Sus scrofa: one gene and its partner. The main gene of each other region encodes a partner of the protein of the gene in region 2 in a complex. Links are inferred from orthologs where the notes say so. Each region holds a gene or a part of one and is shown on either strand. Other genes may lie near its edges. The genes, in order: WASF2 and ABI1.

Region 1 (6,329 bases), on a different chromosome or scaffold from region 2:
TAGAGAACCTTCTTATGACAAGGGCCTGTCTGAACAGGATGGGGCCACAGAACAAAATGGCCCCTTTTTATTGGGAGGTGAAGCTAATGGAGGTACCCTCGGGGCTGATCCCCCTGTAGAAAGAAAGGTTCACTTTTCCTCTCACCATCTTCATCACTCTTTAAAACAAATCTCTTAATCCAGGAAGAACAAGTGTCAGAAGTGTCAAGATTTCTGAAAGTCAAGATTTTCATGGTAGAGTTATTCCTAAAAGCAAGGACAACTCCACTCTTTCCTTTTATCGTCCCTAGACACCCGGCATGGGCTGGCATGGTTCTCTGACAGCCAGGATGCAAGGTATTTAGGGGAAAAACCAGCGCGACATTCATGCCAAGCAGTCGTGGTGACTTGGCTTTGAATGTCACACAGGTCAGACACCAGGATAAGAATCAAACCAAGCTTTCAAACCATTTTTTTTTTTTTTTCCTTTTAAACCTCTAGTGTGATTTGGAATTGGGAAACGGGGTCAGACTGACATCTACTATTTCTCCACAGAGATATACAGCCTCAATGCTAGCCGTGCGACTGTTCCCACACTGCCTCTGAGGTCGGCTTCAGCCCCTTGGCCAGCCTCTCTCCCAAGACTGACAAAGGCTGACTGAGAAGTGGCTTTGGCGATGTGCACAAATTCTCTGCCTGGCCCTCCCCACACCAGTGAAATGCCCAGCTCTTAGCCATGACCTTCAAATCAACACTCTGGAGGCAAAGGCCTTCCAAGACCACTTTTCTTCCCTTTCTAGTCTTTCCTTTGAGGCCCTCAGACATAGCCATGTCTGGAAGAGCAAGGGCACTAAAAGCCATGGGCATTCTTTTTCCAGGCCATTCTGGTCATCTCATTTAAACTGCTTGAGTCTCTTGATTTTTTTTTTTTAGCAAATTTTAATCACCAGACAGAGGCACTTTAAAGTAGCTGATTAACAGTGGTATTGATTTAAGCCACAGAGCCAGACTTAAGGGTGTATGAAAGGTGTCACACATAAGCTGTCAGACGGCTGCCCTCGGGTACCCAGCCCCTTCCAAGAATGCTACCAAGAGAACAAAAGCATCACCTACCCAGACGGCCCCAGCTTTTCTTTGGATTCCACAAATTCTTGACCCATCTTCATTTTCTCCCACTCTTCCTTACGTGTCTTGATTTTACGTGGGTTTACATTCCCTCGATTTGGATTATCTTTCTTTTCTTTCTATAATGAAAAGAAACAGAAAAGCCTTAATAAAACACTTCCCAAAGTTATTCAGTAAAATTCCATCACTTTCACGGATATACACCCATGCATATGCTGTCTATGCCTAGAGAGCATACGGTAACTACAGAATTCATAGAACTGCTGGGTTTAGAGTGACCTAGAGGTCATCTAATCCAAACCACCTCCTGGGATCAAACACAGTTCCTCAATCCCACACTCAAACATTTCTAGCAATGAAACCCCATTACCTCTTTGGGTAACTCATTCATGGTTTTGAGCAGCTCTAATTGTTAGGAAGTTAGTAAACTGTTATTTGCTATGCCACAAAGGTCAGTCAAGAGAGAAGAGAAATAATGACGGCGACAGATATCTGGGACAGATATAAGGAAATAGTTAAAAACAAACCAAAACAAGCAAAGAAGAATTCTTCAGCCTGTGCAGCTGCACTAGCCCCTGGCACTCTCTTGGGCCTCCTGGCAGCCACACTAATGGGATTGTGAGGTTGTACCTGGTAGGTCATATGCTTACACACATCACTGGGAGTCTGGGGGGAGCATCTACCAGTGTAGGCCTAGGCCCCCACCTCTGCCCCGCCCAACCAGTAGTCAAGGTGTTAAACCGCTCCTGTTACAAATCAAACACTGTAGAGCCTTGTGCTGATCTGAGAAACGAGCTGCAAAACTGGCGGGGAAGGGACTAGCCTAGTTTGAGTGTCCAGCAGAGTCAGGTGCAAATTGCAAGAGAAATAAATGGTGAATAGAAAAGTCAATTTCTAAAACTCAGCCTGAATATACTCGCCTGTTAATAGCGCTGAGGGGAACAAACACATTTTTGGTGTGATTTATACTTTCATCTTGGTTGTGCTTGGAGTGGACACATTTTTTTAAGAGTCTCACCTGGCATCCAAGCAACCAGCCACTCGGAATGATCACTTCACATAAGACTGGCTTCCTTTTTATCCCCCCTCCACAATCGTGCCTACTGATGTGTAGAACAGAGGCCCCCTTCCCCTCACCCTGTGCTTTCTCTTCTCTTTCATGATATCCTTGGTGTCCTGCAGCATCTTCTCCTTCCAAAGATCAAAGAAGTACGAAGGGTCTGTGTAGAATTTGAGTGCCTCTTTCCCATCGTCCCTGGGATAGAAATGAAGACAAGTAGCTGTCAGTAGACAAGACGAGCTCCCAACCAAATCAAATATTCCAAGCACCTACCAGTTAGCAAGGTTTTTTCGGGGGGGGAGGGGTGAGGGGGGGCTTTTTAGGGCTGCACCCGAGGCATATGGAGGTTCCCAGGCTAGGAGTCAAACTGAAGCTGCAGCTGCCGGCCTACGCCACAGCCACAGCAACACCAGATCCAAGCCATCTCTGCGACCTACAGCACAGCTCACAGCAACTCCAGATCCTTAACCCACTGAGTGAGGCTGGGGATCAAACCTGTGTCCTCATGGATACTCGTCAGGTTCTTTACTGCTGAACCACAGTGGAAACTCCCGGTTAGCAGTTTTTACACTGAGGACTCAGGAAGTTGTTCAAATCAACTGCATATTTCTTCTCCCATGCCAGCATTCCAGTGCCCCTGAATGGCATGGCACCTCTTTACTTATCTGGTTTTTTAAGAACTTTAGCCTTACTTTCAATTCCTGGTAGAGGAATTTGCATGGTCAGGGCAAGAATGGGCTAAAGCAGCAGGGATCCTGATTATTTCTAATGATCTCCATGGCCACAGACCTCTCCCTGAGGACATTTTGATCCCTTAGCACATCAGACGGGATTTCTGCCACTGGTTCCCCTCCTCCCATTAACTGCCCAGAACTCTCTAGGAAGCATTAGTGGTTCCCACCCACCCAAACCCGTGCACGCATGTGCAAGTTCACATGTGTACATAATGTGTGTATATACACATATGAATGTGCATATCTGTGCAGCTGCTATTCTTCTACAAATACTGGTAACCAAAGCACTCCACCTACTTGCTCCCTTCCAGAATAGCTCAGCATTCACCCCTACCTCCACCCCAACCACCAGGGGGCCCCAGTGAGAAAAGATGGCCAGCTGTTTTATGACCCTAAGATTTAATTACCACCTCTTAGTGGCTGTGACAGAAGCACAGAGTGAGCTACTGAGTGTCACTATAAGGGCTGTCTGCCAGACTCAATGACCCCTCAATGACTCCGCACTTTGGGATGGCTAGGTCTCTCTCACTTTCCAGAGAACATGTGCTTGGGGTGGACATTTATTTTAACACTACCCTGAACTAAAAAGAATTGTAAAGGTCATTCTTCCCTGACCTCCAATCCTATCACAACACTCAGAAAACATTTCCTAACCAAGCACTAGCGACTTTTATATTACCTCTTGTTTGGAGTTGGCCACACCACTCCTCATGTCTGTTAGGGCAAATCAAGGAAATTAAGAGGAGGATGCTAATAAGGAAAATACCTGAAATTAACTGAAAATAAACTTGTCTTATCACCCTCCCTTCAATACTGTCAGGTGTATAGTCCCTTCCTGTCCTCCAACCCCTCTGCCCTGATCTAACCAGAGCAAACGATGGAGGCTACAGAGTCAAATCCCTGCCCTGCTATGTCAGCTGCCCCTTCGAGAGCCAAGGGGCAAACATAATTTCACACGGCAACAATCTTATAGGAGAGATGCCATGTACTTTTTCTGTATCTGTGTGAGAAGCAACCATGCTCCTATGCCCGATCTCTGGATCAGGCAGGTGTCCTTGAATTTCACACACACACACACACACACGTTCTACTCTGCAGTACACCCGTGTCTTACAGAAGACATCTGCCTCCAGCTATCTGTAATTACTTTTACCTGTTCCAAAGATATTTATGGATGTGAGCAAGATAAATATTCGCTTTCTGCCCCTGCGTGGTGGTTTTTCGCAGGATGATAACACGACCAGACCACAGAGGGGAGGGGCAGCGAGCTGTCTATAAGGCTACCCTTTTCAAGTCCAGCCACAGCACTGTAGGTCTTTTCTGAGGGGAATGTTGAAAGGATGTTCAAAACAAAGTGAGCGACACTCATTTGGAAGAATGCCAATTACTCCTTAAGCTCTGGAAGGACCCTCAGGGCCCAGAGCAGCCAGTCCACAAGGCTGGCCCCACTAACACGCCCAAACATCTGGTAATCTAGTGGTTTCAGAGTAAGTGGGAGCCCTGCTAGAATGTTGCCCCTGGGATGAATGCTATAGGACTGCCTTGTAACAAAGTCCTTTTGGTTCTATAATAACTAAATTCCTTGGATGGAATCCAAGACGGACCAGGCTTATACCAAATTAAACTCTGCAGCATGCGATGCTATAACAAACTTTCAATATATATTATATTTGCTATGAATTTCAGAAACCAAACAATAACAATAACTGTTTATATGGTAAATTTCAGCTTCTGCCGCCTCAAGCAACTCTGGGGTAGGTAGTAAGCTTTTCGATACAACAATCTGCTGGAAACAACATCTTTGAATAAAAAGACAAGCTAGTGTTGTTAACCACAGTCCGAAAAAAGGAGGAGCTCGCCAGGTTACCTGTAAGGGGTAAGATTGTTGAGAGGTGGAGGAGTATCACAGGTGTTGTATGTTTCCAAGACAGGTATGGGGAGAGAATTTCTGTCAAAAAGCTTCTGGTCCTGAACAGTAGAGCTTCGGAAGGCCTTTCGGGTGTTGATTCCTTGTAGTGACACTGAAAGAAGATGGGAGGCATTAGAAAATGGACGACAGGCTATTTGAGCAAACACTGAGTCACACCAGGCAGAGAGGCCTCAGCTGCTGCATTTCTTGGCTGCGGCTGTCTGCAGCCTGGTTTTTTTTCCCCTCTTCTGGGGAAGCCCCACAAGGCTGTCGGCAGCCCAGCCATTTCACGACTGAACAAAATGAGGCAACACAAAGGTTTACTATGTGGCCAGCTCTAGCAGACCTCTCCTTAGGAGGAATGAATCTTCCAAGTACTTTTATGGTAGCAAAATACGACGGGGGGGAAGGGGAATCTGAGACAGAGGGAATTGGGGGAATGGGAGAAAGGGAGTGTGTGGAGGTATGGTAGAGACACAAAGGTTTCTTTACACCACCTAGGCTTGTATCTTTTCAAAGAAGAACTCCATAGGTTTCTATGATTTCTCCCCTCACTTTTTTATAAATCAGGGGGAAAAAAAAATCGTAAGCAACTGCTCAGCAGAGCCTGCAAATGCTGAGCTCAGCTTCCTTACCTTCTTCTTCCTTGGGATCCAGCTGAGTGACTTTAACTTGTAGGCGGTCGACCCTCTCAGCAAGGGAGCTTACCCGAGAGGCAAAAGTATTTGCCTGAGTAAAGAGCTCTCCAAAAATGTCCTCGGCATATTTACCTGAGAGAGCAAAGAAACCAAGTCACTGGTGCATAAAAGTGACATAAATGGTCAGAAAAACTGGTTACTGAAGAATGTACTCCCCACCTCCCAAACACCATCCCCCACTCCCCTAAGATGGTTCAGGCTACATGCAGAGCTTGCCCTTGGAGACAGAAACATACCCTCCAGAGCCTGGGCAGTTTGCATGTGTTCTATAGCTAATAGAGTCTTCCTGGCAAACTCTGGCTGTTACAAAACTCAAGGCAGGCGGAATAAAATCAAAAGTTTAAAACAAAAAAACTAATCCTAGAAGCGTGGATAGTACACCTACACATTTGCCTATAGCCTTAGCCCTTTGCTGCTCTGTAAAAGCACCTTGTAAAAATGGTTCTGGAAAACAGATTGGGAGTTAAAAGGACCTTCTAGATGTTCACAATTAACATGAAAAATAAGAAATTACATCCTCAAGGGAGCCCCAAAAGTATGCTGAACAACCATGATGAGATACTGTATTTTGGGGAGGTCTTTAACTTAGTAACAACTCATAATAGAGACGTATAATTTCTTCTCAGGGGTTAAAAGGTTATTTCATGTTTTTATAACCTGTAACTTTGAAAGTCTTTGCTTTAGGTTATAATCCTTCAAATCTACATCTCAGGGAACAAGTGGAAAGCTGAAACATTCAAGCTCTCCCTGAAAAACAACATACCAGTGGTCTCTTTCCACAATGTCTTGTTTTTTTGAAAAAGAAAAGAGTTCTGTACTTTCAA
Region 2 (6,927 bases):
CATTTAACTTTTTCCAAGGCCCAATTTCCTCATCTGTAAGAGAATACTGCCTTTCACAGAGAGCTTTTATAAGGATTAAAGATAGTACAAATCAACCAGCACAAACTGTGACAGAGAGGTACTCAATAAATAAAAGCAATTACATTACTCTTCCCTTTTCCATTACCCTTTTCATATATTCTTTTTATCCTCTACATTGCAATAAGCACCCCATTCAGTATTCATTAAAAGGCACTTAGGATACAGAATCAGAAAATCTGGGTTTGATTCCAGGCACTACTTCATACAAGATATGGGACTTTAGGCCAGGTACTTAACATCTCTGAACCTCCAATTGCTCATCTGTTTAAAAGAAAAGAAAAAGGCATGGAATTATCATAATAACTAAGTGACATGGTTTATAAACTGCAATAAATAAGTTGTACGGTACCAAAAATGCCAGCTTTTACCTACTCCAAAGTTCCCCTGCTTAAAAATTACCTGCCTTCCACAATCACCTGGGTATAATGAGCAAATGAGCATAAACTAATGTCACAGGTAGAAGTCAAGCTAAACTACATAGCTCACTGATGATAATGCCTTCATCCTCTCAGACTATAGGATATACTTGTTAACCCAGCAAAGCTCCTGCTACAGGAATTCCAGGCAGAAAAATTATATTAAAAAGTTAGGCTGTAAACACTTTTCTGTCCTTATCCAACCTAGAAATCTGTGTGTTTAGAAACCTTTCTTAAGCAGTTTCTACTCCTTTTCACTTAGATCTCCTTCCTATTTTCCTTTCCTATTACAAATGTGGTATGGTCCCTACAGTAAAGCAAAGAGAACTGACCAAATGTGTGAGTTCTAACTGAAGAGTGTCCTTGATATAATTCACACAAAAAAATTCAAACTAAAGACAGAAAAAGCCAAAGGTTTTTCTTTATGTCATAAATATGGGGGGTTTTTTGGGGGGGTTGGGGTTTTTTTGCCTTTTTAGGGCCACACCAGTGGCATATGGAGGTTCCCAGGCTGGGGGTCGAATGGGAGCTGTAGCTGCCGGCCTACACCAGACACAGCAATGCCAGATCCGGGCCACGTCTGCAAACTACACCACATCTCAGGGCAATGCCAGATCCTCAACCCACTGAGCAAGGCCAGGGACGAACCCACGTCCCCATGGATACTGGTCAGATTTGTTTCTGCTGAGCCATAACAGGAACTCCAACACTTTCTATTTTGAAAATTATTTTCCCAAAGAATTTCAAAAACCTTTTTAAAAAAACAAAAACCTTGGAGTTCCTGTCGTGGCACAGTGGTTAACAAATCCGACTAGGAACCATGGGGTTGTGGGTTCAGTCCCTGGCCTTGCTCAGTGGGTTAAGGATTGGGCGTTGCCATGAGCTGTGGTGTAGGTTGCAGATGCGGCTTGGATCCCACATTGCTGTGGCTCTGGCGTAGGCCGGTGGCTACAGCTCTGATTCGACCCCTAGCCTGGGAAACTCCATGTACCACAGGAGCAGCCCAAGAAAAGGCAAAAAGACAAAAAAAAAAAAAAAAACCCTTTTTAAGACAGTGGGCTCTCTTGAGAAGTTCTGCTATTAATACAATTTAATAATTAAAGTCAACAGGTCCAAAAGAGCTAATAAAGTGCTCAAGGACTAAACTGTACTACAGCCAAAAGAACCTTCCAGCTAAATACCATACCTGACTGAACTGTACTTCAAAACTACAGGAAAATAACAAAATGAAAAGTGATTTTATCTCAGGATAAAAACCACGCTGGCAAAAACTTAACTTGGGGTGTAAAAAAATTCTCAAAACACAAGTGACCATATACTCTTCCCAAGAGAAGGTATGTTTACACAGGGTGTTGGCTATTACCCTGTCACAGAAGGGATACAGAGAGATCTCAAAAGACATGTAAATGGATATTTCTAGTATTATGAGTTTCCTCTTAACAGTAGCGTAGCACATCATAAAGCCAGCTACCAACACATCAACTCTCACAAAGTCCTCATTACCTTCTGAGCCTGTCTGAGCCTCTTGGGAAGGCAACTGGTAGCCAGCTTCAAGCAACCCAAAGTTAGCTTTGGGAGTTCTCTTGTGCTGCAGTGGGTTAAGGATCCAGCCTTATCACTGCAGCAGTTTGGGTCACTGATGTGGCTAGGGTTTGATCCCTGGCGGGGCAACTACTACATATCAAAGGAGTGGAGGTGGGGGGAAGCAAAAAAAAAAAAAAAAAAGCAGCAGCAGCCTCTAACATCAACATTGCTGTGTGTGAACTTCATCTCTTCCCACCCCCACAGCTTACATGGGACTATCTCACTAGCATCAAGTTTAGGACCACCAAAAAGAAACTGGGGGCCACTTACAGTGGATTTTGGCACCATGGTACTAATATGCTTTAAAGACTATGAGAAATAACATGATTTATTTAACTAGGGATATAATGAAGTTTAAAAGTACTTCAAAGTTACATGATGGTAGCAAGAGGGAAAAAAAGGGGTGGGGGTACCTCTAGCACACAACTACCTGAAAAAGAAATACTCAACAGACAGGTTAAAACACGTTTGCATTTGCCAACACATAGCAGTTACCACACCATGTATTTGTCAGATTTCCCAACATGCAAAACAAAAAGAAACCATCCCTTAATGAAGTACCTATCTGCTGATTTCTACAAAGAAATGACTTTCCCTTAATGGAGGCAATTTAACTTCCTGTGCTTTCTCTCTGACTTTCAAAATCTTTAAAACCTTCAGCAAACTGAGAATCACCTCAATTTTAGGGCTTTTCACAATGAAACTTGTATATTTTTGGTATCAATCAACTACAAAATAACTTTTCTGTTTGAAAAGTATATCCACATTTCTAGTAGATTTTAGAATTTTTTTTAAAAGCAGTTTGCAAAAACAGCGAAAACAGTAGATGTAGCAGGCATTCAACAAGTTTATCAGTGGAATTCCTAAAGTAAAATCTTGAAAAAATTTATGAGATAAATTCCTTGTAGTGCTACTGAAGATACAGTGTTACTAATATGGAAATTGAAAAATATTCAAAATATTCTGAAAACAGTATCTCCTTCTAAAAATAAAAAGGAAAGCATTTGCCAACACAGAAACCATTGGTTCTTAAAAATGACAATCACATGGGATGCATTTCTATAAATACCTTAGTTCGGAATTACAGTAACTCTAACCTTTCAAAACACGTTTTGGTCATGCCTTACCACTAACAAGCGAATTTTTGGTGCCATTATCCTGATTAAAAAGGACTCTGCTACTTTTACTTGCTTCTATTGAAAAATGTTAGTTTACCGCAATTAAAGATCTACAAAGCAAACCACCACAACATAATTCACTTTCAATCATTAAAATAAAAGCAAACAAGCAACCACCTATCATAGATAAAGGTCCAAGAATTTTCGAAAACATTCAACAATAACGTATTTGTCGTTATGGTTCTAAGACTAAATGTTCAGTAATCTACTGAGATTCATTCTACACAAGTACTTAGGATGGAAAGAGAGAAACCTCAGGAAAAAAAACAGCAACCGGCGATTACACCATTCTATTTTAAGTTACTTAGGAAGCTAGCAGTTCAAGAACTTTTGAGGAAGAGAGAGTATTTAAGCCATTTTTCCAAGTAGTTAAGAATAATTTGTTTCAAGCTAACGATCGCCCTAACAATCTCTAGAATATATTACGGTGGGGCGGAAGTGAAAATGATGAGAGGGAAAAAAACCCGACTTGAAAATGGACAGGCAGGCAGATTTACAAACCTTCAATTAAAGGAATTTGGAGATTAACTTCTACTCCCTCCCTCGCTCCCCACTCGCTTCCTCCTCTCCTCGGGGAGGTCTCTGTGATGTGACTCACGACCAATTTTTTAAAAAATAAATAAATAAAAGACACACCCTCTGGGCTAAACTGACATAATCGCCCCCACCCCACCCTCCCCCGACACACACACCCCGCTTTTCCTCTCTCTCCTGCCGCTCCGCCCCGCGCCTCGTCCCGGCCCTTTGCTCTCCCCTTGCTCGACCGGTCCGAGACCCCTGGGCCGGCAGAGAGGCGGCAGGGCTCTAGGGGGACTCCGGGGCGAAAGCCCGGCGGGTGGAGGGCTGCCGGGGGGAAGCGCGACTCCGGGGGCTGAGCCCGCGGGGAGGCGGGCGGCAGGGGGGCGCCGGGCTGCGACGGCCGCGAGCTCCGGGCTCCCTCGCCCATTTTCTCTCTCCGCTTCTATGGGTTTCAACCACCACAGCCACTTCCTGTATCGCAGCCCGACTCCCCAAACCCGGCCACTTGCTGTCGCCCCGGCTGAGGCTGGGGTTGAGGTTGGCGCTGGGGTTGGGGTTGGGGTTGGGGCTGCCGCTAAGGTTAGGGCAATTCCCCACCCCTCCCAGTGGGCTGGTCACCCAGGCGGCCGCCGGCGGGTCCTTGGCCCGGCCGGCCAGCGCCCGCCCGCGCGACCGCGCTCCTCACCTGTATGTAGTTGTTTTCACAGTAGTCCGCCACCCGGGTCAGGTTCTGGTAACTCTCTATCAGCGCCCTCTTGCCAGACGGGATCTCCTCCTCTAGTAACATCTGCAGCTCTGCCATTTTCCACCCCTCTGCATCGCTTCCTCTCGCGTTAAAGAGACAGAGGCAGCAAGGTCTGCGGAGACGCCGAGCACCTCACAGCCCGGATACAAACCGCCTGCCCGCCCTCCCGCCTGGTATTGTGGGACGGAACCTCCTCCTCTTCCTCCTCACTCTCTCCACCCGCCTCCACCCACTTCACGCAGCCGCCTCAACCTCTTTTCTCGCGAGCCTTCCTGTCTTTCCCGCCCCCTTCCCGCAACCATGGAAATTTTTTCCTTTGGCATGGCCTTCTGGGAATTGTAGTCTCTTGCAGACGTGGCTGCCCATCAGAAGCGCATGCGTTCAGGGAGCCTCCGAAAAAGAACGAGGAGGAGCATATTTAAAGAACTTGGAATGAGGGTGGTGGTTTAAGTTTCTAGTCTCTTGACGGGTCCGGCAGATGGCGCCGCAGAGTGATACTAGAGAATAAAACCCGGTCCCCGAGAAAGCTGTAATACTTGGTAGAACTTAACTAGGAAATGCCTGTGAATCAGAGATATCAATCTGATAAGGTTTAAAAAGGACTGGAATAAGGATATTCCAGATCTTTACTTCCTCTGTCTTTTTAGAGATAACTCCACTCAGGCTTTATTTTCTAAACTTCTGCCGCCCTCAGTTTACTTAAAATTTAACTTGCCCTTGTTATTGCCAGCTCTACACCAAGCAATGGACTGGGGGTGCAAGTTGAGTAAAGGATACTCGCTCAGTGGGTTAAGGATCTGGCATTGCAGTAAGCTGTGGTGTAGGCCCGAGGCAATAGCACTGATTTGACCCCTAGGCTGGGAACTTCCATATGCCACAGGTGCAGCCCTAAAAAGACCAAAAAATATATATATATATATATTAATATTGAGATTTCCCATTGTGCCTAGCAGATTAAAACCTGAAATAATGTCTGTGAGGATGAGGATTTTATCCCTGGCCTTGCTCAGTGGGTTAAGGATCTGGCATTGTTGCAAATTGCAGCATAGGTCACAAATGCAATTCATATCTGGTGTTGTTGTGTCAGTGGCATAGGCCAGCAGCTGCAGCTTCAATTCAACCCCTAGCCCAGGAACTTCCATATGCTGAGAGTGTGGCCCTAAAAAGAAAAGAAGAAATAAAAAGAAAGCCATGACACATACTTATGACAGAGGACCTGTATCTGGAATATATTAAAAAAAAAAAAAAAAAACTCCTCCAAGTCAATAAAAAAAAGACAGACAGGAGTCCCTGCTGTGATGTGGTGGAAACAAGTCTGACTAGTATCCATGAGGATTCAAGTTTGATCTCTGGCCTTGCTCAGTGGGTCAGGGATCTGGTGTTGCCTTGAGCTGTGGTGTAGGTTGAAAGAGGGACTCAGATCCTAGGTTGCTGTGGCTGTTGCATAGGCCAGCTGCTGCACCTCTGACTTGACCCTTAGCTTAGGAACTTCCATATGCCTCAGGTGAGGCCCTAAAAAGAAAAAAAAAAAAAAAGACAGACAATTCAATTAGAAAATGGACAAGAGGGAGTTCCCGTTGTTGATGCAGTGGAAAAGAATACGACTAGGAATCATGAGGTTGCAGGTTCGATCCCTGGCCTAGCTCAGTAGGTTAAGAATCTAGTGTTGCTGTGAGCTGTGGTGTAGGTCACAGACACGGCTTGGATCTGGCATTGCTGTGGCTGTGGTGTAGGACAGTGAAAACAGTTCTGATTCGACCCCTAGCCTGGGAAGTTCCATGTGCCTTGGGTGCAGCCCTAAAAAAACCAAAGACCAAAAAAAAAAAAAAGAAAGTGGACAAAAGAGGAGTTTCCACTGTGGTGCAGAGGGTTAAGAATCCGACTGCATTGGCTCGGTTTGTTACCAAAGGCACAGGCTTAATTCCTGGCCCAGCACACTAGGTTAAAGGATCCAGGGTAGCTGCAGCTGTGACCTACACCACAGCTGCTGCTTGGATTCAATCCCAGGAAACTTTCAAATGCCACAGATGCAGCCATTAAAAAAAAAAAAAAAAAAAAGAACAAAAAAGGGAGTTTCCTTGTGGCTCAGCAGGTAAAGGATTGGCATTGTCGATCCAGCTTCCACATGCTGCAGATATAGTGAGAAAAAAAATTAAAATGGACAAAGGAAGACAACTCACTCCAAAAAATGCCCACCATGAAAATGTTTATAGTAGCGTTATTCATAATCACTAAAACCTGGGAACAACTCAAATGTCTTTCAGCCAGTTACTGGATAAACAAACTAGTACAACCAAACAACAGACTGCTATATAAATTATAAGGAAAAATATATATACACAAAATCATGGATGAATTTTAAATGCATGTTGCTAGGTGAAAGAAGCCAAACACTCTCTCTTCC

The links.
Region 1: ABI1 (region 2) and WASF2 share a complex: the UniProt entries of both Homo sapiens proteins name them as parts of the WAVE2 complex. The link is inferred for Sus scrofa from reciprocal best matches to the Homo sapiens genes ABI1 and WASF2.

The regions. Positions count from the first base shown.
Region 1 is NC_010448.4:84,630,183-84,636,511, forward strand, and holds part of WASF2 (wiskott-Aldrich syndrome protein family member 2), read right to left. Parts: intron 5,578-6,329; coding exon 5,443-5,577; intron 4,920-5,442; coding exon 4,766-4,919; intron 2,360-4,765; coding exon 2,242-2,359; intron 1,224-2,241; coding exon 1,093-1,223; intron 1-1,092. UniProt on the Homo sapiens protein: Downstream effector molecule involved in the transmission of signals from tyrosine kinase receptors and small GTPases to the actin cytoskeleton. Promotes formation of actin filaments. Part of the WAVE complex that regulates lamellipodia formation.
Region 2 is NC_010452.4:48,937,262-48,944,188, reverse strand, and holds the start of ABI1 (abl interactor 1), read right to left. Parts: upstream 4,734-6,927; 5' UTR 4,581-4,733; coding exon 4,464-4,580; intron 1-4,463. UniProt on the Homo sapiens protein: May act in negative regulation of cell growth and transformation by interacting with nonreceptor tyrosine kinases ABL1 and/or ABL2. May play a role in regulation of EGF-induced Erk pathway activation. Involved in cytoskeletal reorganization and EGFR signaling.